Ovis aries: one gene and its partners. The protein of the gene in region 1 interacts with the protein of each later gene in a pairwise test. Links are inferred from orthologs where the notes say so. Each region holds a gene or a part of one and is shown in the gene's direction. Other genes may lie near its edges.

What was found.
Region 2: the proteins of CERT1 (region 1) and ACTL8 interact in binary tests that used the Homo sapiens proteins (3 or more experiments, as listed by UniProt). The two-hybrid records come from large-scale screens. The link is inferred for Ovis aries from reciprocal best matches to the Homo sapiens genes CERT1 and ACTL8.
Region 3: the proteins of CERT1 (region 1) and RTN4 interact in binary tests that used the Homo sapiens proteins (3 or more experiments, as listed by UniProt). The link is inferred for Ovis aries from reciprocal best matches to the Homo sapiens genes CERT1 and RTN4.
Region 4: the proteins of CERT1 (region 1) and CSNK1G2 interact in binary tests that used the Homo sapiens proteins (3 or more experiments, as listed by UniProt). The two-hybrid records come from large-scale screens. The link is inferred for Ovis aries from reciprocal best matches to the Homo sapiens genes CERT1 and CSNK1G2.
Region 5: the proteins of CERT1 (region 1) and RTN3 interact in binary tests that used the Homo sapiens proteins (3 or more experiments, as listed by UniProt). The link is inferred for Ovis aries from reciprocal best matches to the Homo sapiens genes CERT1 and RTN3.

The regions. Positions count from the first base shown.
Region 1 is NC_056060.1:6,790,030-6,794,134, reverse strand, and holds part of CERT1 (ceramide transfer protein), read left to right. Parts: intron 1-1,694; coding exon 1,695-1,827; intron 1,828-2,633; coding exon 2,634-2,704; intron 2,705-4,105. UniProt on the Homo sapiens protein: Shelters ceramides and diacylglycerol lipids inside its START domain and mediates the intracellular trafficking of ceramides and diacylglycerol lipids in a non-vesicular manner.
Region 2 is NC_056055.1:248,512,432-248,517,224, reverse strand, and holds the start of ACTL8 (actin-like protein 8), read left to right. Parts: upstream 1-1,598; 5' UTR 1,599-1,644; coding exon 1,645-1,992; intron 1,993-4,311; coding exon 4,312-4,793.
Region 3 is NC_056056.1:69,034,333-69,038,437, forward strand, and holds part of RTN4 (reticulon-4), read left to right. Parts: intron 1-3,106; coding exon 3,107-3,176; intron 3,177-3,771; coding exon 3,772-3,818; intron 3,819-4,007; coding exon 4,008-4,066; intron 4,067-4,105. UniProt on the Homo sapiens protein: Required to induce the formation and stabilization of endoplasmic reticulum (ER) tubules. They regulate membrane morphogenesis in the ER by promoting tubular ER production.
Region 4 is NC_056058.1:41,931,115-41,935,219, forward strand, and holds the end of CSNK1G2 (casein kinase I), read left to right. Parts: intron 1-888; coding exon 889-929; intron 930-1,054; coding exon 1,055-1,124; intron 1,125-1,200; coding exon 1,201-1,349; intron 1,350-1,444; coding exon 1,445-1,679; intron 1,680-1,752; coding exon 1,753-1,838; intron 1,839-1,923; coding exon 1,924-2,008; intron 2,009-2,089; coding exon 2,090-2,256; intron 2,257-2,358; coding exon 2,359-2,442; intron 2,443-2,533; coding exon 2,534-2,640; intron 2,641-2,768; coding exon 2,769-2,823; 3' UTR 2,824-3,683; downstream 3,684-4,105. UniProt on the Homo sapiens protein: Serine/threonine-protein kinase. Casein kinases are operationally defined by their preferential utilization of acidic proteins such as caseins as substrates. It can phosphorylate a large number of proteins. Participates in Wnt signaling.
Region 5 is NC_056074.1:38,530,115-38,534,219, forward strand, and holds part of RTN3 (reticulon-3), read left to right. Parts: coding exon 1-946; intron 947-4,105. UniProt on the Homo sapiens protein: May be involved in membrane trafficking in the early secretory pathway. Inhibits BACE1 activity and amyloid precursor protein processing. May induce caspase-8 cascade and apoptosis.

The DNA.
Region 1 (4,105 bases):
AAGACTCCCTCCAAGCTGAAACTTTGGTTGGAAGGAGGATATTGACATTTAAAAGATAGAACTATTTAGCTCTACCAGATAATATTAAATGAAAAGTACAGGTGAACAGTGGAGGAAAATTGAAAGAGATCTCAGATTTGAGACAGATTGTTTTACATCAAGGACTATGACTAGAAATGGAAACAAGGTTCTCACAAAGGTGAGGCGAGGGCATTTATATTCAGGAGTTTTGTACAGATTTTTGACCACAGTTATTCTCACAAGTGAGATACAGTATTAGATGTTGGAATTTACTCTCCTCCTGAATAGGGAACAAATTAAGAAATAGAGGAGGTAAGCAAATGAGAGACCAGCGTGTTAATTAGAATGCTGGCAGTCTGGTTAGAGAATGGTTAGAGAACAGAAAGACCAGCTGTCACGAGGCCTTACTAGTACGTTACCCCAGAATGAAACATAATAGTTCTGACATAACTAGGTAATCAGAGGCCTTCCCCCACAAGAGCGAGCCCCAGAAGCAGACCAGCATACATCCTGCCCACAGGAGAAGGGGTTCAGCCAAGCCTGCCTGACTCTCCTGTGTCCACCATTCAGGTGTCCCTGTTTCCCCGGCAAGGAGGGGGAAGTGAAAGGGTGAGGAGAAGCCGGGAGTCACTGTCTGAGTGGAGGTCCTTCACCTGAAGTGAGCGGTAGAGAAGAAGTGCTCCTACCGCTTTAGAGAGAGAGTCGCTGGGGCTGGTTTATGCGGTGTATAAAATAACCCACAAACAGAATGTGTTATTGTCTGTAGCAGTGAGCTAGCCACTGTATACAGAGTGACATTTTAGAAGGACTAGGCTCATAGGGATATGAAACTAGAGACCACTTAGGAGATTCAGGTACAAGGTGATGAAAACATACCTTAAAAAGATACACAATAGTAGAAAAGTCAAGTTTTGGATGTCTTACAGATTACTAAGAAGCTTAAAACCCATGTGCAATGTAAGGGAGGAAATCAAAAGTCTAGAGTTTCCAGTTTTGGTTACTGGAAAAATATTATCAGTCCCAATAACATAAATAAATGTGTAAGGAAAGGTACTTTGGAGAGAAATTAGGTGAAATGCCTGACAGTGTCCAGCCCCATAGGCACTCCATAAATTGAGAGCTGGTTTCCTCTGTGATAACCTGATTATTTTTCAAAGAACTTACTCCAGAGCTGTCTAAAGTACCAAATCCTCTATAATTTTGAAGTAATTAATTTTATTCAAGAGTTTATACAGTCTCAGTATTTAAAGCAAGACAGATCTTAAGGCATGCAACCTCAGTATTTAAAAGCAAGATATCATTGATCTTTATGCGATGTTAGCATTCCATCATTGGTTCAACAAATAATTGAGTGCCTTCATGTTTCAGATACTGTTCTAGGTGATGGGGATACAGCAGTGAACATATTATCCCTTAGGAGATAATGTTCTAACCAGCTGTATTTGGCCTTCTTAGCCATGACGAATGGTCTTTGAGAATGTTCAGTAAATAATGTCTAATTTAAATGGATGTATTTGTAGCTCTCACTCATTACATATACATACTTTGGCATTGTAGTATTAAATATTTTTTTGTATTGTCTTTGTTAATAATTTGAAATTTTAATTTTTCTTTTGGCAGAATGTTTATGTTGCATAAGTGTTTTTAAACATGTTTTAAAATATATCCTCTAGGTATATAGAAGAGAAGTAGAAGAAAATGGGATTGTTCTGGATCCTTTGAAAGCTACCCATGCAGTTAAAGGCGTTACAGGACACGAGGTCTGCAATTACTTCTGGAATGTTGATGTTCGCAATGATTGGGAAAGTAAGCTGCCATTACTATATTTTGATAGTTTTTAATTTTAAATTAAATACCAAATCTAACCTGGCCTTCTTAATCTGAGCTATAGTTTCCAAAGTCATAAAAACTCCAGATAGTTATGGAAACTACCTGGAGAATCATCCAGGGGACTGATAATACCTGAGCTTTTCATTGTACAAAATGCTTCTCAGTGAGTTACAGCATTAATCCACTACAGTCCTGTGTGATAGGTAGGTAATAAAGTAAAATTCAGATAGCCTAAGTGACACGTTAAAGACCACAGAACTAGTTAGTGGAAAAGCCAAGGCTAAAATAAAAGGTTTCTATTTTATCATCTTTTTTTCCTTCTATACTGTTTATGTGATAAATTGTAGATTAAGAGGGGGCTGTGAGGGGAGTGGTGTCAGGGGAGGGGGGTGTGTTCTCCTCAGGCTTACAGTCACCTAAACCTAGGTGAACAGCTTATTCAGCTCCGATAAATTAAGGATGACAAGAGAGGGAAGAGGTCATGGTGTTAGGGAATAATTTGTGCCCTAGTAATGAAGCCATGATTAGAATTGCTTTCTTGCAGTGGGAGCTGGATACTGGGCCAAAAAAAATTAGGTTTCCTGGTGATTAGATCTCATTGCCACCATCTATAACCCCTAATACTGTATGAATACAAACTCCCTTCCATGTGGATGTAGCCTCGGTAGAGCAAGATCCTGTTCATTTTACTATAATGTCTGTGTATAATGTAAGTGAATTAGTCACATACTGGGAAACGGTAACACATTGTTTTGACTGCTAACATTTTCTCTTCATTGTAGCAACTATAGAAAACTTTCATGTGGTGGAAACATTAGCTGATAATGCAATCATCATTTATCAAACGCACAAGGTAAATATCTTTTAATCCCAACAGGATTCCAGCGTAGTTTGAACAGAGACATACAAAATACTCTGTAAAGTAAAATTTGGCAGGAAATTAAGTTGCACAAAAAGATTCAAAGACTTTATTAATCACGAATTTCATGTATTCGAAAAGTAAATCAGATTATTTAAACATTTCTGCTTTAAAGCAGAAATGGATGCAAAAACAAACCTGAAAAATATCCAAAACATTATGTTTGATGGCGATATATAGTAAGTCTGGAGAAGAAAGTACTCAAATCTATTCAATGTTTTTCTAGTATCTAGTCTCTAGAGGAAATAAATGAGTGACCAAATATGAATCGGTTTCCTGCGACAGTAATAGGAGAATGGAAAGTATGTTATTAGTCTGTGTTAAGACTCAAAAGTGAACATGATCTAAATGGATTATCTGACATCAGGGAAAAATTGCTGAGCATCAGCTATTGAGAGGTTGTTGGTCATGCCCCAGAACACAAAGAAACATTGTCATTTAAATTGGTTTCCTTTCACTCCATTTCTTCCTCTGTTAATCTAAATATTTAAATTAGAGAATATTTCTCTTAACTTCTTCTGCTCTATTTCCATTCTTAACATTGCCAAATATTATGTTGAATAAACAATAATAAAATTTTGGAGAGATGCACCAAAAGCAGTTTTGTACATTATATAAGAAACATGATGATTCAGTAAGTACTTCATTTTTCTTTTTAAAATAATTTTTGAGTTGAATATTTGATAATATTTCCAGTTTTGTTATGTATTTCTTGAGCTAGTCTTGTTATCTGAGGCATGTAATATTTAATGACTCTGACTTCGGCTTCATTTACATGACAACTACTCAAAGGCATAACAGTGAAGATTCTGTTTTAACTTACTGATTTAGGGGGTTTAAAGTAGAGTCTGAAATTTAATAGACTTTAAAATATTAGTCGCTCTGTAATGTGCAGTGAAAATAAATGACCAGTCATTTAGAATCAGAAGGCGCTTATTTTCTAAAGATAATTGATCCTGGAAAATGGGCTGCAGAAATTATTTTGCTTCTTAAGTAGTAGATGGAGGGGAGGAATATATAGCTCATATTAGGATTATTTCTGGAAAACTAAAACTAAAGATTATTAAAGTAATGTATTTTATATATAACAGAATTTAAGTTACAGTTGTAATTAGTTGAATAAATGAATTGTCCTGGCATTTTTTCAACAAAATCCAGTAATAATAGGGTTTCCCTGGTAGCTTAGTTGGTAAGGAATCTGCCTGCAATTTAGCAGAGACCCTGGTTCAATTCCTGGATCAGGAAGATCCGCTGGAGAAGAGATAGGCTACCCACTCCATTATTCTTGGGCTTCCTCTTGTGGCTCAGCTGGTGAAGAATCCACCTGCAATGCAG
Region 2 (4,793 bases), on another chromosome or scaffold:
GTGTATATCTGCCATTCGTATATTGTCTTTTGTGAGGTGTTTAAATCTTTCACCCCTCTAAGAAATTGGGTTATTTTCCTATTATTGGGCTTTGTGAGTCCTTTATATTTCTTGGGTAAAAGTCCTTTATCAGGTATGTGGTTTGTAACTATTGTCTCCCAGTCTGTATCTTATATGGGTTATCCTCTTATTAGTTTCTTTTGAAGAGCAAATGTTCTTGAGTTTGATGAAGCCCAACCTCTCAATTTGCTCTTCTATGAATCAGGCTATTAATGTTGTATCTTAGAAAACTTTTGAGATCACAATGATTTTTCTGCTGTGTTTTCTTTCAAAACTTGTATGGTTTTAGGTCTGATATTTAGGTTTATGATCTATTTTGAGTTAATTTTGGACACAATATGAGATGTGGAGTCGAGATTTTTCTGCATGGGGATCTGCGGCTGTTCCCGCCGTTTACTGTAAAGACTCTCTGCTTATGTCATTGTTTCTGCACCTTGTCGAAGGTCAGGTGACATTTTCTGTGTGGATTCACCTCTGGGCTCTCCGCCCTGTCCTTTAGGTCTCTGTGATTATCCTCTCACCAATACCGCATAGTCTTGGCTAGTTTATTTTTATAGTCAAGTCTGAAAATCGGCTGGTGGCCACGCCTACCTCCTCAGCACATGTGTGTTTTTCTTAATTGCCCTCACTCTACAGATGCGGACACCGACCGCAATCCTGGTTAGCTGCCTCACTCACAGCCTCTTGTATATAGTCTGTTAGATGCTCAGCACATACTCCAACCCTGTGTCTTCTCAGCGGCCTGGCCTGATGCTCGCCGTGTTCTCTGGATTTTGGTTTGGGTTTAAGTCTCAGCCCTGGTTTTATTGGTTGTGTGGCCCTGGTTTTAATCTCCGTATGCCTCAGCTTCCGTACCTGTCAATGAGTATCATGATGGTACTTGCCAAATAGACTGTGGTGAAAGTGAAATGGTATAGACGGTGGTGAAAACGAAAGGGGACCGTTTGTTGGGTCAAGCTCTGAAATTGTTGATATTTGATCATTTCTGATGGACACACATGACTGTCTTGCCTCACCCAACCTGAAGCTCAGCCTCGCAGCGCTAGGTAGGCAGGAGAGCGTCCGCTGCAGAGGCGGTTGCCGCGGTCGTCATCGTCCTCGCTGTTCCTCTCGCTGCTCCTGTGGTCTCACTGTTATCGAGGGCGGCGGCCCCTGCAGCTGAAGCTTCGTCTTCCACGTGTCCTCAGTCAGGCAGCCAAAGTCCGCCAAGCCCACCCTGTGTGACAAGCTTCTTAGGAGTCTGCAGGCTGTGAGAGGGCCTCTGGGAGCAGAAATGCCCAGTTGGTGTGGACAGGTGTGGCGAGTGCAAGAGGAGAAGGTTGGGAAGCGGGGGCAAGTGGGTCGGCTGGACGTCCAGGTGGGGCCTGGGAGGTGGCCTTTATGGAAGGGGGGTTTGGGTGCAGGTTGCAGCTTGCTCAAAGGCCCGGAAAGGGGAGCAGATGAATTCAGGGGAGCCTGAGGTTTGACTGTGGGGTGGAGAAGCCAGTGGCGGCCTAGAGTGGCTCATAATCGCCCCGTCCTCTGCCTCCACAGGTGGCCAGACTCGCCTGCGGAGCCCGTGGGCAGACCTCCCCCGCCTCCACCATGTCTGCGAGAACCATCATCATCGACCACGGCTCTGCCTTTCTGAAGGCTGGCTTGTCGGGCTGGAATGAGCCGCAGCTGGTCTTGCCCAGTGTCGTGAACTACATCCCCTGCCGGGAGAACCCGGGCCCCAGCTACGCTCGGCGGCGCGTGAGTCTTGGCATTGACATTTGCCGACCCGACACCTTCAGCTACCCCGTGCAGCGGGGCCGCGTCATCAACTGGGAGGGTGTGGAGCACATCTGGTCGTTTATCCTGGAGAAGCACCGGCTGGAGCATGGGGACTTCCCTGTGATCGTCACAGAGAGCCCCGTCAAGGAGCCCGTGGACCGTCAGAAGACCCTGGAGGTAAGGGCTTCTCTGGGCTGCCCATCCAGGGAGCGGGCCTGACACTGTGTTCAGACCCGCGTGGGTGCGGGAGCTCCGCCCTCTGAGGCATTCACCCTGTGAATACTGACTGCCCCGTGTGTGCCCAGCACTCACGTTAGGCAAGGGGGGCTCACAGAGGCCCCCGGGGCAGGAGGCAGCAGGCCAGCGCGCTGTGAACAGGCTGCTGTGCGGAGGGGCTCCGGGCGCTCACGGGCTCCCTAAATGTTCACAGAGAACCTTCTGGTCTTCAAAGAGCTTATGTGCTGGAGGAATGCTTGATGGTGAGGAAGTTAACAAAATTCCAGGTAGTAATCAGTTCTAAAACCAAAATGCAATGGGGTGAAACTGACTGAGGGAAAGAAGGGGAGCCCCTTGGAAGATGGTGATCAGGGAGGCCTTCTCTGGGAGGCTGGAGCCCAGCAAACTAGGGAGGGTGATAACAGGGAGCCAGGGGCTGGATCTCATAGGTCTGGTAGGCTGTGGGACGTGGTTGGATTTTATTCTGAACCGAAGGTTAGCAAACTATAGCCAGTTGGTCAAGTGTGGCTTACCATCTGTCTTTATAAATAAAGATTTATTGAAACGTACCCACGCCCGCTCATTTACACATCACCTAAACGGCTGCTTTCACCCTGCAGCCCAGAACTGAGTAGTTGGAAAGAGACTGTGGCTCGTAAAGCCCGAAGAGTACTTACCGTTGTGGGTCTGCTAGATAAAATACACGGTAGATTGGAATTTCCCATCACAGCAAATAATATTTCAGTGTATCAAACACTGCATAGGATAAACAGTGAAGCAAAGTGAAGTCGCTCAGTTACGTCCAGGTCTTTGCGACCCCATGAACCGCACCCTACCAGGCTCCTCCGTCCATGGGATTTTCCAGGCAAGAGTACTGGAGTGGGCTGCCATTGCCTTCTCCAGAGGATCTTCCTGACCCTGACCTGGATCGAACCCAAGTCTCCTATGTTGTAGGCAGACGCTTTACCGTCTGAGCCGCCAGGGAAGTCCTAGGACATAGTGAAGCATTATTTGTTGTCCATCTGAAATTCAGATTTAATTGGGTATCTTGTATTTTTATTTGTTACATCTGACACCCTGAACCATTTATAGAAAATGTTTGCCAGCCTCTGCTCTGAGTGAATATGGAGCTCCTGGAGAGCTTTAAGTGGAGTGTGGGGTTTGCATTTGATTTTTTTTTTGAAAAAGAGGACCTTGGCTTCTGTATGGGGAGTGGATGGTAAAGGGGCAATATTCTGAACATAGGAATGGACGGAGCTCCCTCCCACTGAGGGGAGAAGGTGGGCCTGCAGGCCTGCAAAGGCGGCTCGGTGGCCAGAGGTTACAGGGGCTACAGAGCTGGGCCGTTGGAGCCTTTCTGCATCTGTGGTGTCAGAGCCCTGGGGATGCAGCCTGGGCTGGGCGGTTGGGGAGGAGGGGGTGGGGTGCTCTGTAAAGACTGTGGGGGTGACAGGCAGAGGAAAAATCAGCCGGGGGACTTGCCAAGCTCTAAAGATCAGAATTCCAGCTTTGTCTTGGTGTTTGGAAAGTGTTTATCTTAAAAAACGGACTTCACGTGTCAGGAGGTTAGCGTGTCTCCCTTGCCCCCCGCCCCCCGCCTTCCCTTCCTGCTGCCCCTCCTTTCAGGAGGCAGTGGTCTGTGTGCAGCATGGCTTTCTTCTCTCATCACTTCCGTCTTATGAAAAAATGGTTCAGGGGCCTCCCTGCTGGCTCGGTGGTGAAGAATCCGCCTGCCAGTGCAGGAGACACAGGTTCCATCTCTGGGCCAGGAAGGCCCCATGTGTTGCGGAGCAGCCAGGCCCGTGACCCGCAGCGACTGAGCCTCTGCTCTGGAGCCCGGGAGCCGCAACCACTGAGCCCGAGCCCCCGAGAGCCCGTGCCCCACAAGCAGAGAGGCCGCCACAGTGAGAGGCGCCCTGCAGCTGGCGCGTAGCCCGATCTCCACAGCTAGAGACAAGCCTGTGCGGCAGAGACCCGGCACGGCCAAAAGTTTAAAAATTGGGAAACAAATAGCTCCGGCTGCAGCTCCCGCGCTGGACCTGCCCCACTTGCGCCGGGCTGCTCACACAGCCAGGCGTCTCAGCGCCTGCGCGCACATGCTGAGGCTCTCCCTGCCCCTCCGCCAGAACGGTCTTCTGAAAGGCCATCGTCAAGCAGCTCCCAAGGGCCAGCCTGGCTTTTTCTGACCCTCCAGGACCCTTCCCGAGTCCCCCCAGGGTGAGCACTCTGCTGGCACTGCCCTGGGGGGCGCGCTGAGTTCTGTCTGCTCCCCTCCTGCAGATCATGTTCGAGTTGCTGGATGTGCCGTCTGTGCTTCTGGCCGACCAGCTGGAGATGTCGCTGTACTCGTCCGGCCTGCTGACGGGCGTGGTGGTGGACTCAGGCTGTGGCCTGACCCGCGTGCAGCCCTTCCACCTGGGCCGCCCGCTGCGGCCCGGGACAAAGACGCTGGAGTTCGCGGGCCAGGACCTCTCGGCCTATCTCTTCAAGAGCCTCTTCAAGGAAGATTACAATCGCCACAACCTGTTCCAGCTGGACACCGTGGCCAGCACCCAGATGCATAAATGCTACGTGCCGCAGAACCTGGGGGAGGAGCTGGACTTCTATCAGGGCCTGCCGAGCGGCGCCGACGAGAGCAACAGCTACCACCTGCCAGACGGCACCGCCGTGGAGCTGACCCCCCTGCAGCGGCTGGCCCCCGAGATGTTCTTCAGCCCCCAGGTGTTCGACCTGCAGGGGCCCAGCCTCTCCCAGGCCACCAT
Region 3 (4,105 bases), on another chromosome or scaffold:
TGTATAGCAGAGCAGAGATTCTGGAGTCAGATGAACCTACAATTATTGTCACCTCTGGTTTGGCAACTTGCTCTCATCTTTCTGTATCTTGTTTTTTTCTTTTATGGGGATAATAACAGTATTTAACTTTTGGGGTTATGATGAAGTAACTGAGAAATTTGTTAGTTGCTGTTATTACATAATAAATTTCAGTAATTGTGCAATTGTTGGATGTTAGCTCTTAAGTCCTTTCTCTTCTGATGGAGTCCTCTCTGGAAACCCTTACCCAGTATTTTTGTTTGGGGCCCTGAAGTGTTAAATTTTCTCCAGACTTAGCTGCAACATTTGTAAATTCTGTGATAGCACATAAAAATGTGAATTTCTGGATTTCTCTCCTAAAATGGGGAAACATGGCGGCACTGGCCTGGAACGTTTACTTGTGGAGCTGGATTGCAGGTGCTTCTTGAGAGGTAAAAGGCACATATCTGCCTTGGTCCTCACCGAGACTCCCTCAGGCATTTGTGTCACCAGCCTGCCCCCACAGAGGTCTGAAGCCTCCCTCCATTTCTCTCTGCACCTGGATCATCGGGCTTTTAGAACATGTCCTGCAAGAGGCAGATCTAATGACATCTGAACCCCCTACATCACCTTGGTGTGAAGACTTGGGCTTCTCTTTTTTTATGGATTTAGAGTGCAGCCTTGTCAGTGACTTTATGACCAGATTAGGACTTATGTTTAGCTTGTGTGTTAGTTTCTGAATTTTGTCATGGTAAGGGTATCTTTATTGCTAAAGCAATTTCTCCTAAAACGTAGGTTGACCCTTCTCTTCCTGACTTGGTGGATGGAGATGGATGAAAATAACTGTTGCTCTATGGTAAACTTGCTCAAGTGCAGGAGTTATATTTAGCTTTTGCAATAGGAGTCTGTAGAACTATGCGAGAGGGAAAGGGCTTGCTAACTGGAGTCACACTTCAAACCCTTCTGCCAGAGGTTCCATAGAAGTTGCAAAGACCAGGACAGCATTTAATTTTTGATTTGCACTTGGCAGCTGTTAAGAATGCTTGATATTTGCTCACTTGAACATTAAATTCAGTTACAGGGGTAACCAAAGTGTTGCTCTTTGTAGAACTGACAGTTGGTGCAGGAATCCAAGATTCTTCCTAACCTGCAGTAAATAAACTTCCTAGAGTCTGAATACTTTAATTACGGCTCAGTACCCAGCTCATGGCAACCCACCTGGTAGGCTACAGTCCATATGGTCGCAGAGTCGGACACGACTGAAGCGACTTAGCATGCACCCAGCTCATAGTAGGTATTCAATCAGATTTTGCTGAATGAATGCTACATGGACAAAGATATTTGCTTTAGATAAGAGTTAGGAAGCTACTGTTCGGTCTGGCTTGTGACCTGTTTTTGTACAGTCTGGGAGCTGATTATACTTTTTACGGTTTTAAAGGATAATATTCAAAGAATATGTGACAGAGATCCTTTGTGGCCCATAAAACCAAAAATGTTTGTTTTCTGTCTTTATTTACAGAAAGTTTGCTGATCCCTTTTTTAGATAATGGAGGTGCTCACTCCTCTCTCCTTTTCATTTATACTTTGCTCTTAGAAACCGAAATAATTGTCGGTGGTGGCATCGTGGTGGGATGTTTGTGACCTACTAAACAGGGCAGAGAGATTGCCAGACATATGAAGGCTTTTACTAGGAAACAGAGAAACTGCTTCTGCTGAATGTTTAATAAAATCCAGACTGACTTGGTGTTTATAAGTCTTCAAGAACTGCTTGAACATATCACTGAGTTTTTACTATATGGTGTCACCAAGAACTGGAAGAAAACTTTGAAATCCTCTTATTCAGCCATTCATGAGTAAACTATAATATGGTGAGGAAATAAAGGACTTCTCAAAATGAAAGCACTTTACAGAAACAAGGCTTTTCCCAAACTGCTATATTTAATGATTTTTTTTAATTGAAGATTTTGAGATGAGGCTTACTAAAATAGGAGTATTTAGTCTGCACTGCAGTCCCTGGGAGGAGAAGGCAGTGGCACCCCACTCCAGTACTCTTGCCTGGAAAATCCCTTGGACGGAGGAGCCTGGTAGGCTGCAGTCCATGGGGTCGCTAAGAGTCAGACATGACTGAGTGACTTCACTTTCACTTTTCACTTTCATGCATTGGAGAAGGAAATGGCAACCCGCTCCAGTGTTCTTGCCTGGAGAATCCCAGGGACGGGGGAGCCTGGTGGGCTGCCATCTATGGGGTCGCACAGAGTTGGACACGACTGAAGCAACTTAGCAGCAGCAGCAGTCCCTGGAGGGCACAGTGAAATATGACAGTATAACCTCAGTTCTAGCAAGTTCCTAAACCTCTGTTTTTTCCTTAGTGTCTTCATCTGCTGTGGTAATGATAGCAGTGCCCACCTCGTAAAATTGCTAGGAGGAATACATGAATTTGTATTTGTAAAGCACTTAAAACAGTGTGTGGTACTAATACATCAATAGTAAGAACTGGGTTAGTGTTTGCTAAATAAAGAAGGCAGTGGCTAAAAGAATAATAATGGTCAATTTTATTATTAGGTTTAAAAGTTTGAGTCCTCCTCATTGGCTGTTAAAACATTTATTACTGGAGAGAAAGTCCTTCTGATCCTTAATAAAATGTTAGAGCTGATATCTTGGGTGCTTGAGACATAGTCTCCTTGCGCCATTATTGCTTATTCAGATATATGTCTGAGTCATTCAGCTCATGTAAATCTTGAATCACTTGTTGGTACTTGAAAATCATTTTCAATAGTTAATTCTCACGATAGCTTTCCAGTCTTCCCATTTTAGAAGTTGAATACTATAGTAGAGCTGGAGGGGCTTTCTGATTTTAGAGGAAACAGAATCAACTATTTGGTAATGTACTTCAGAGGAAAATGAATCCTATCTAGTAACTGTTTTAATTAGATCCTGAAATTCCTGAATCGAGCCTGGCAGCTTAGTGAAATATCCATATTGTTTTTACCCAATCTCCAAGGAGTATGCCTATAGTAGTTTGGCATTTACATGGGATATATTTATTTGAAGATTTAATTTAAAAACTTGACTTGAATTTTGTCTTTAATTGGCTGTTATTCTCTTACAGTTTGCAGTGTTGATGTGGGTATTTACCTATGTTGGTGCCTTGTTCAATGGTCTGACACTACTAATTTTGGGTAAGTCTACAAAACCAATAGAATGAAAAATTTTTTAAAAGATTGGGGACTTCCTGGCAGACCAGTGGTTAAGACTCCATTTTTCCACTGCAGAGGCCATGGGTTTGATCCCTAGTGTGGGAACCAAGATCCTGCATACTGCACAGCACAGCGAAAAAAAAAAAAAAAGGTGTGCAACGAACTTCAAGATGTTTTAGTGGAAAATATTCTTATACTGTAGAAAAAAATAGAGGGATATACACTAGAGGTTGTGACCGTAAATAAATTGCTAATAATTATACTATTTATGGAAATGCCACTTACTTCCTGAAGACTACTCCAACAGTGATAAACCAGATCAAGAGTGGCCTTATTTGATTTTATTTCATATGTCTAACTAACTAGGGATGCCTATATTTTATAAAGTCTGTAATGTGAAGCCAGGAGTGGCTCCTGGCTCCCTTGGTTAATTCATTCCTCTGTCCACCAGCAGCTGTGTCTCCCTGTAGTAGGAACATTCCTGGCTCTTAAGAGTGCTGCCAGTTTGATGACTTAGGTATGATTTAGGGAACAAACACTGCAATCTACTTTAAAGCCTGTGTATTTCCTTTTTCAGCTCTGATTTCACTCTTCAGTGTTCCTGTTATTTATGAACGGCATCAGGTAATTTAACTGTAGATTTCAGAATACAAACCTCATTCTCTTATGTGGAACTTAGAAATGTCAGTGCCAGTTTCCAAAACCTTATGAAAAACGAGAAATGTGGCAGTTTTAAGCCTTTAATATGTTGGAACACAGTTCTAAGATTTGTTAGCCATGGTGATTTTCTAATAAATTCTTTATCTCTTTCAGGCGCAAATAGATCATTATCTAGGACTTGCAAATAAGAATGTTAAAGATGCCGTGGCTAAGTAAGTATTTAAAATCTGCACTTTTTTTACACTAAAGCT
Region 4 (4,105 bases), on another chromosome or scaffold:
GAGAGGGTGCAGCAGCTTGCTGGGTATGCACACAGGCCACCACCCCCGGGTGCTATCTGGGGTTCAGCCAAGGGTGGGAACTAGCAGGTGAAAAGCTGGCCTGGGCAGGGGTTCTGGAGCTTTTGTGTTTGCAGTTTTATGAGGTTGAGCAGTATAGCTGGTTCTCAATGCACACCTGGAGGTCCAGGTGGCTGGTGAGGGGCTAGGGGAGACCTCTTGCCCCAGGCATGTCAGTTTCTAAGCCTAGGATGCAGGTTTACTTTCCTCCTGATGGGCTTTGTGCAGGAAGCCTCAGGCTGGGGAAGGGGCTCTTGGCCCTGGGGCCCTTACTCCACCGCAGGGGATAGGGGGGGTTGGGGTGGGGGGGTGGGCCTTGTCCAGCAGATGTTCACAACTTAACTGTCTGGACTTACAGGCAGGGCGTGGGTTGGGGGCCTCCCTCGAGGGTCCCTAGAACTGAGAGGGGAGAGTGCTGGTCAAATGGCTTGATGGATGGGGGCTCAGAGAGCATCTGGGGACAGAGACGGGTTGTAGGGTGGTGTGGATGTCTCCTCCAGGTCTCCGGAGCTGAAGAAGGGCCTTGGGGTCACCAGGACTCTGTTCTGTGTTCACTCTTCTAGGTGGGAGAAATTGGAGTGCATGGGCGTGCTGGCGGGAAGGATCCCGCTGAGGACAGGGGAGCAGCCCCCAGTGGGCGGAGGCAGGGTTGGCCTAGGGATGGTGATGGGTGAGGGTGCTCACAGCCGGGGGGAGCCCCTTGCGGGCATCCTTTTCCCTCCCAGACTGGGAAGGAGGGGACCAGCGCAAGGGGGGCTGTGAGGGGAACAGGAGATGCGCGGGCTCATGGGCTGGAAGTCCCGCGGGCCTGATGTGCTGCTTCTCCCACAGGAAAGAATCTCTATACAAATGAATACGTAGCTATCAAATTGGTGAGTCCAAAACCTGCCCCTAGCCCCAAGCGGCAGCTGTCCCGATGGGCTTGGCCAGGGTCGGGGCGGGAGGAGGGCAGGACTGCACCCTGCGTGCCGCCCACGCGTCCTCTCGTCCCTCCCAGGAGCCCATCAAGTCCCGGGCACCGCAGCTGCACCTGGAGTACCGCTTCTACAAGCAGCTCAGCGCCGCAGGTACCCCAGGGCCGGGCGTGGGGGAGCTGGGGGAGCCCGCCTGGGCACCGCGCTAGTCTGTGTCCTCCATCCGCAGAGGGCGTCCCTCAGGTCTACTACTTTGGCCCGTGTGGGAAGTACAACGCCATGGTGCTGGAGCTGCTCGGGCCTAGCCTAGAGGACCTGTTCGACTTGTGCGACCGCACGTTCACGCTCAAGACGGTGCTCATGATAGCCATCCAGCTGGTGCGGGCCGGGCTGGGGCGGAAGGGGCGGGGTGGGGCGGAAGTGGGAGGCGCAGAGAGCGGGCTGAGGCCTACCTACCGCCCGCGCACCGGCAGATCACGCGCATGGAGTATGTGCACACCAAGAGCCTCATCTATCGCGATGTGAAGCCGGAGAACTTCCTAGTGGGGCGGCCGGGCACGAAGCGGCAGCACGCCATCCACATCATCGACTTCGGCTTGGCCAAGGAGTACATCGACCCCGAGACCAAGAAGCACATCCCGTACCGCGAGCACAAGAGCCTGACAGGCACGGCACGCTACATGAGCATCAACACGCACCTGGGCAAGGGTGAGTGAGTGGTGTGTGGGCCGGGCAGGGGATGGTGGTTGGGAGGGCTGTGCTGACCTGCTGTCCCCCGCAGAGCAGAGTCGCCGTGATGACCTGGAGGCGCTGGGCCACATGTTCATGTACTTTCTGCGCGGCAGCCTGCCCTGGCAGGGGCTCAAGGTGGGTGGGCCAGGCCGAGTGGGCAGGCCGGAGGTCTCCCGCGGGTGGGCAGGCCGGCCAAAGTGCTGACTCCACTCCCCTGCAGGCCGACACGCTCAAGGAACGCTACCAGAAGATCGGGGACACCAAGCGGGCCACGCCCATCGAGGTGCTTTGTGAGAGCTTCCCAGGTGAGAGTCGTCTCCCCATGTACCCCCGCCCCCTTGCTCTGCATACCCCTGCCCAGTGCCCTTGCCCCGAGCCTCCACTAGCCCTGTTGGTGTCTGCAGAGGAGATGGCCACCTATCTGCGCTACGTGCGGCGCCTAGACTTCTTTGAGAAGCCGGACTACGACTACCTGCGCAAGCTGTTCACCGATCTCTTTGACCGCAGCGGCTTCGTGTTTGACTACGAGTACGACTGGGCCGGGAAGCCCCTGGTACGTGGAGGGAGGGGGCTGGCACGGGAGGGGCCCCTGGTAGGTGAGGGTGGCTGGCAGGGGCCCCCAGCTGAGCCTAAGCTGCCTCTTGCTCCCTTGCAGCCCACGCCCATCGGCACGGCTCACTCTGACCTGCCCGCGCAGCCTCAGGTTCGAGAGAAAGCCTTGCTCTACAGCAAAAACCAGGTGAGTGCCAGGCCAAGGACCGCACCAAAGTGTGTGTGTTGGGGGGGTGTCAGGCGGGGCCCACCTGACTCCCCGCCCCCGCCCCCCGCAGGCACTTAACTCCACCAACGGGGAGCTGAATGCTGACGACCCCACCGCCGGGCACTCCAACGCCCCCATCACAGCCCCTGCAGAGGTGGAGGTGGCTGACGACACAAAGTAAGGCCCGCAGCTGGGTCGGGAAGCAGGGATGTCCTGGGTCTGCCCCCTCGTACCCTTGCTCCTCCTCCTCCACCCTCACCCCTTCCGCAGCTTGTGCCCCCTTTCAGCCTGCGTCCCCCTTCCAGGTGCTGCTGTTTCTTCAAAAGGAGAAAGAGAAAATCGCTACAGCGACACAAGTGACCCCCCAGGGCAGTGATCCCCGAATCCTCCCGCTGCAGCCCCCCGGGGCCAGCTTGTCCACGGCCTCGTTGGCCACAGCCGGACGCAGACTGCAGGCCGGCAGCGCTGCCGCCCCCCGCGCGGGGTCACGACCCTCACATAAGACTTGGGCCGAGATTTCTACACCTGTGTCTAGTCCTCCCCTCTGAGAGCATTAACTATTTAAAACAAGGAAAAGAGAAACCACAGCGGCTGCCCTGCCCTGCGCCCCCGCCCGCGTCTGCTGAGTGAGTAGAGCGGCCGCCGGCACCACCGCCCGCCCGTTAGTGTCATAAAGTCCAGCTTGTCTCCCTCGATCCAAAGGCCGTTTTCTCGAGGGGGCGCTGCGGGGCGTTGCTGCCGGGGGTGAGCCCACCCTGGGCCTCCCCAGACTGGAGGGGAAGGCGGGGTGGGGGCGGCCCCCAACCAAAATGCTGCACCAAAGCCTGGGCTGGCAGGCGCGGCCCTCAGGGGTCCTGGCACCTGTCGGTGGAGCCGCCGGCCTCAACTTGGGCTGGGGGCAGCCACCTCGAGGCCCGTGGGCGGCGCGTGTGCGGGCTTTTTGTGTCGCTCCGCGCTGCCGGCCGAGCCTGGAGACAAGCGCCTTAAAGCCCGTCCGAGCCCCGCAGGTGTGTGTGGAGCGGGCAGCCCCGTCAGTGCCGTCCCAGTGGTCCCCTGGGGCTGCGAGCTGCGGGCAGAGCAGCTTGGGCGTCTTCGCGGTGCGTGCGTCTAGGTCTGGCTTTACAAAGTGTACAGAAATGGCACTTCCGTTTCTCTGATGCTTCCTGGAAGCCATAGAACTTAGGGGCTTTTTTAAAAAAAATAAAGAAAAATGAAACCAATTCCCAGCGTGGTGTCCAGTCTGTCAAAGGGGTGTGTCTGGGAAAGGACACGCACGACTAGGGGTCTGGAAGGGAGGCACACGCCGTGGGGAGGGAGCCAGGGAGTAGCAACCCCCTGCTCAGGAGAAGTGGAGGTGGGAAAGAAGGTAAGAGAACTGCAGTGAGATAACCGGGTTGGTTTATTGGGGGCAAGTGGAAAATCAGTTAACTACATCACAGTGAGAACAGAGGAGCCACAAATACAAACGTAAAGGATGGGGAACTTTGCCCCAGTTTACGCAAGTCCACTTGAAACCGCCACTCAGACGGATTCCCTTCCAGGAGCAGAAGGGCCTCAGCTGTGTCTGGATGGCTGGGTCTCGAGTGAACCCCACAGCAAAGCAAGGAGCCCTGGAATGGCTGAGGAAATGCCTTCCTGGGGG
Region 5 (4,105 bases), on another chromosome or scaffold:
AGTCCTGTTATAAAAACAGATGGAGAAGTCAAAGAGATCCTCAGTTGTAACAAGAAAGACAGAACATCTGAAAAATTTGAAGGGTCGGTCAGTGACTCTGAGCCACGACAAGTTCGGCCTGATCCTCTTGAAAGGAGCCCAGGTGAAGCAGTGTGTTCACTAGTATCTAATAAGAATGGCACGCCAGAAGTGAAGCAGTCAGGTAGTAAGCATGAAGCTGTTCCTGAAAAGCCTGTTGCAGCTGAGAACCCAAAACTCCCTTCAGAAGCAGCTCCTACAGAACTCACACAAAGTGGGACAAGCTCTGCCTATTTGGAGTCATTGCATGAAAAAAATATGAAAGATCCAGATGATTCTTCCCCAGAGGACCTGATGGCGGCCTTTACAGAAACCAGAGAGAAAGGAATAGTAGGTATAGGTGAAGGCAATACCTTTGAAGCAACATCAGAGGAGACTAAGGACTTTAAAACAATTCTTCCTCTAGATGTTTTGCATGGGAATAAGTCAGGTGGTTCTGAAATTAAAAACAAAGAAAGCAAATACAGTGAACAAAGCAAAGAAATAAATGGGAGTAAGCTTCTGGAAGTTTTCCCTACCCAAGGTACTCCAATAGCATCTCTCGACTTAGAACAAGAACAGCTCACAATCAAAGCACTTAAAGAACTGAGTGAAAGGAAGGTGGAGAAGTCAGCTTCTGTACAGGATAAAGGAGACTCTCCTGAAGAAATATTCAAACAGACTTTAACAAATGTTAAAGAATCTTCCTGGCCACAGAGATCAGCTGATGTCCTAGAACACAAAGATGTCGAGACTGGATCTGATCTTGAGATTTCCAGGAAGCCCACTGTTATCAAGGAAACTACTAGGGTAGAGGCTATTTCCAGCCTTAGCAAGACTGAGCCGGTAAACGAGCCTGTCCTAACAAGACTTCTGACAGACGTGTCAGGTAACCACTTACGTTAGAAATACTGCATGTGGGGAAAAAAAGAAATATTGCATGTGGTTAATTCAGCTATGATTGATTATTTAGAGGGCCATTTTTCTTAGTCTCTGATTTATATCACTAAATTATAGCTAGAATAAAATATACTATATAATGGGGAAAGGTAGATTTTTTTTTTTAATGGTTGTTTGATTTGGTTTTCTTATACAAATGTTTCCCAAAGCAGGAGACTACTTGTTAAAATTAATATTCTCCTAAAGGAAAAAAATGTCATGGTCCAGTTTTTTCATTATACGTTGACTGTAGGGGAGATTGCTGCTTTTAAGACTATCACTAGGCTCTTATTTGCACAGATTAATATAAAATCTCCGTAATAGTAGCACTGCTTAGCCCTTAGGTATTTTGCTTAGCCCTTGTAAAATCTATTTAGCAATCAAAGAGAAAGGAATTCCTGCTGGGAAGATAATAAATGAAACTTTTAATTAATTTGATCTTATACCACAGAGATTTTATGCTCTGAAAGTAGGTAACCAGTACTGTAGTGCAGTCGTGCCAGTGATGCTTTAGGAGAACTCGTGCATTGTTCTACTTTGGACCTTGTTGACATTCTTCAGGTCAAAACTCTTTGCATGGTACTAGAAGCCCTTCTGCTTGTCTTCTGCTTATTTGAGTGATTACTTTCCTAGCTGTTGACCGTCATTTAAATTACTTCAGATGCTCTCTGTTCTGGTGTCTTAGTGTAATGAAAAAAAGATCTATAAAGCCTCCAGAATCAAGCCCCAACCTCTAATCTGATATGAGGTTCTGCACTTGGTGTATGATCAGTGTGGTCAGAGTTAGGTGCTATGCAGGGCCCTGTGGTTTTCCAAACTTCTTAACCAATAGATTCCTCTTTCAAATGAAATCAGACACAGAGTTATAATATTTAAAAGAAAATGAGATTTTTGTTAAGAGAAACTTTTTAAATGAGGTTGTACCATATTTTTTTCCCCTGTAAAGGTTTTATTATGCACAGAATAAGAAAGGGGCTCAGTCCTTTGCAGCCACTTCCCTCCGGTCACTTCTTCCAGCCAGGGTACCACTAACTTGCTTGCTTGGTTAGGTTACCTGCTGGGATCTGTGGGTCACCTGGAAGTCCACAGCCATAGGCTGCTGCAGAACCATGACTGCTGCCCATCATAGCCTGCGGCAGAAAGGCACCATTTACTTCTTATTTTATAAAGGTATTTCCTTACCAAAGACCATGGACAGGTTATTTAACCTTACTAAATCTTAATCCTTAAAATAGAGATAATAATGGTACTTACTTTATAATAATGTGAAGATTAAAAGTGTAAATGCAGGTTATAAAGGGCCTAAGTTTATTCAGTTCAGTCACTCAGTCGTGTCCACCTCTTTGCAACCCCATGGACTACAGCACGCCAGGCTTCCCTGTTCATCACCAGCTCCTTGATTCATCAAACTCATCTATCAAGTTGGTGATGCCATCCAGCCATCTCATCCTGTCATCCCCTTCTCCTGCCTTCATTCTTTCCCAGCATCAGGGTCTTATCTAATGAGTCAGTTCTTCGCATCAGGTGGCCACAGTATTGGAGCTTCAGCTTCAGCATCAGTCCTCATGAATATTCAGGATGAATTTCCTTTAGGATTGACTGGTTTGATCTCCTTGCAGTCTAAGGAACTTTCTAGAGTCTTCTTCAACACTGCAGTTGAAAAGCATCAAATTCTTCAGTGCTCAGCTTTCTTTAGAGGGCCTGCTGCTGCTGCTATGTCGCTTCAGTCGTGTCCGACTCTGCGACCCCGTAGGCGGCAGCCCACCAGGCTCTCCTGTCCCTGGGATTCTCCAGGCAAAAACACTGGAGTGGGTTGCCATTTCCTTCTCCAGTGCATGAAAGTGAAAAGTGAAAGTGAAGTCGCTCAGTTGTGTCCAACTCTTAGCAACCCCATGGACTGCAGCCTACCAGGCTCCTCTGCCCATGGGATTTTCCAGGCAAGAGTACTGGAGTGGGGTGCCATTGCCTTGGGCCCAGTATATAGTAAATATTCATTTAGCAGCAAGTACAGGACCTGGCATATAGTAGGTCCTGGATCATTATTTGTTACTGAATGCATTGTTATTAATTATCTGTGAAAACACTGAGGCTTTTTTATAAACTCAAAAGTGTGAAATGGCAGTTAAGGATAGCTGTTATACTCTAGAAGTTGAAGATAGTTGAACTTGGATTAAAGAGACCTGAATCCATATTGTTGCTTTACACTGTCTAGAAATGTGACTTTAAACAATTAAGTTATATCACCTTTTGGGGCTTTAGTTTCCTTATCTATAAAGTGAGGATGTTGAAGTAGGTGATCGTCAATACCGTTTCTCTGACCCTGGTAAATACTAGTTTTCTTCATGACTTCTTGTCAAAATTCTTAAACATAGGTTTTTGAGGTGATGAGGTGTATAGAAATTAGGTGGTAACAATCCAGTGTCTAATTCTGGCAAATTCCTGCTTTAATGTGACCTTTGACAATTAGCCAAATTGGTTTGGCATCTTGCTTTGTTAATATTGTGGTATTTTGCCCTTCTTCATAGTGAAGAAGAAAATGGCAACCCACTCCAGTACTCTTGCCTGGAAACTCCCATGGACGGAGGAGCCTGGTGGGCTGCAGTCCATGGGATCAGGACTGATCGACTTCACTTTCACTTTTCTCTTTCATGCATTGGAGAAGGAAATGGCAACCCACTCCAGTGTTTTTGCCTGGAGAATCCCAGCGACGGGGAAGCCTGGTGGGCTGCTGTCTATGGGGTCGCACAGGGTCGGACACGACTGAAGCGACTTAGCGGCAGCGGCAGCATGGTGTTACTTTTTGCAACCCCATGGACTGTAGCCTAACCAGGTTCTCCGTCCGTGGCGTTTTCCAGGCAAGAATACTGGAGTGGGTTGCCATTCCCTTCTCCAGGAGATCTTCCCGACCCAGAGATTGAACCCAGGTCTCCTGCACTGTAGGCAGATGCTTTACCGTCTGAGCCACCAAGGAAGATCCTGTAGTAAATAAAGTACTACGTAAAGGCTAATTATTAGTAAATCTCAACTGAGTTATTTAATCTAGTGTGAGAGATGAAAAGGACTATGGAAGTTTAAGTCATTTTGTCACTGACCAAATTCTATGATTAAT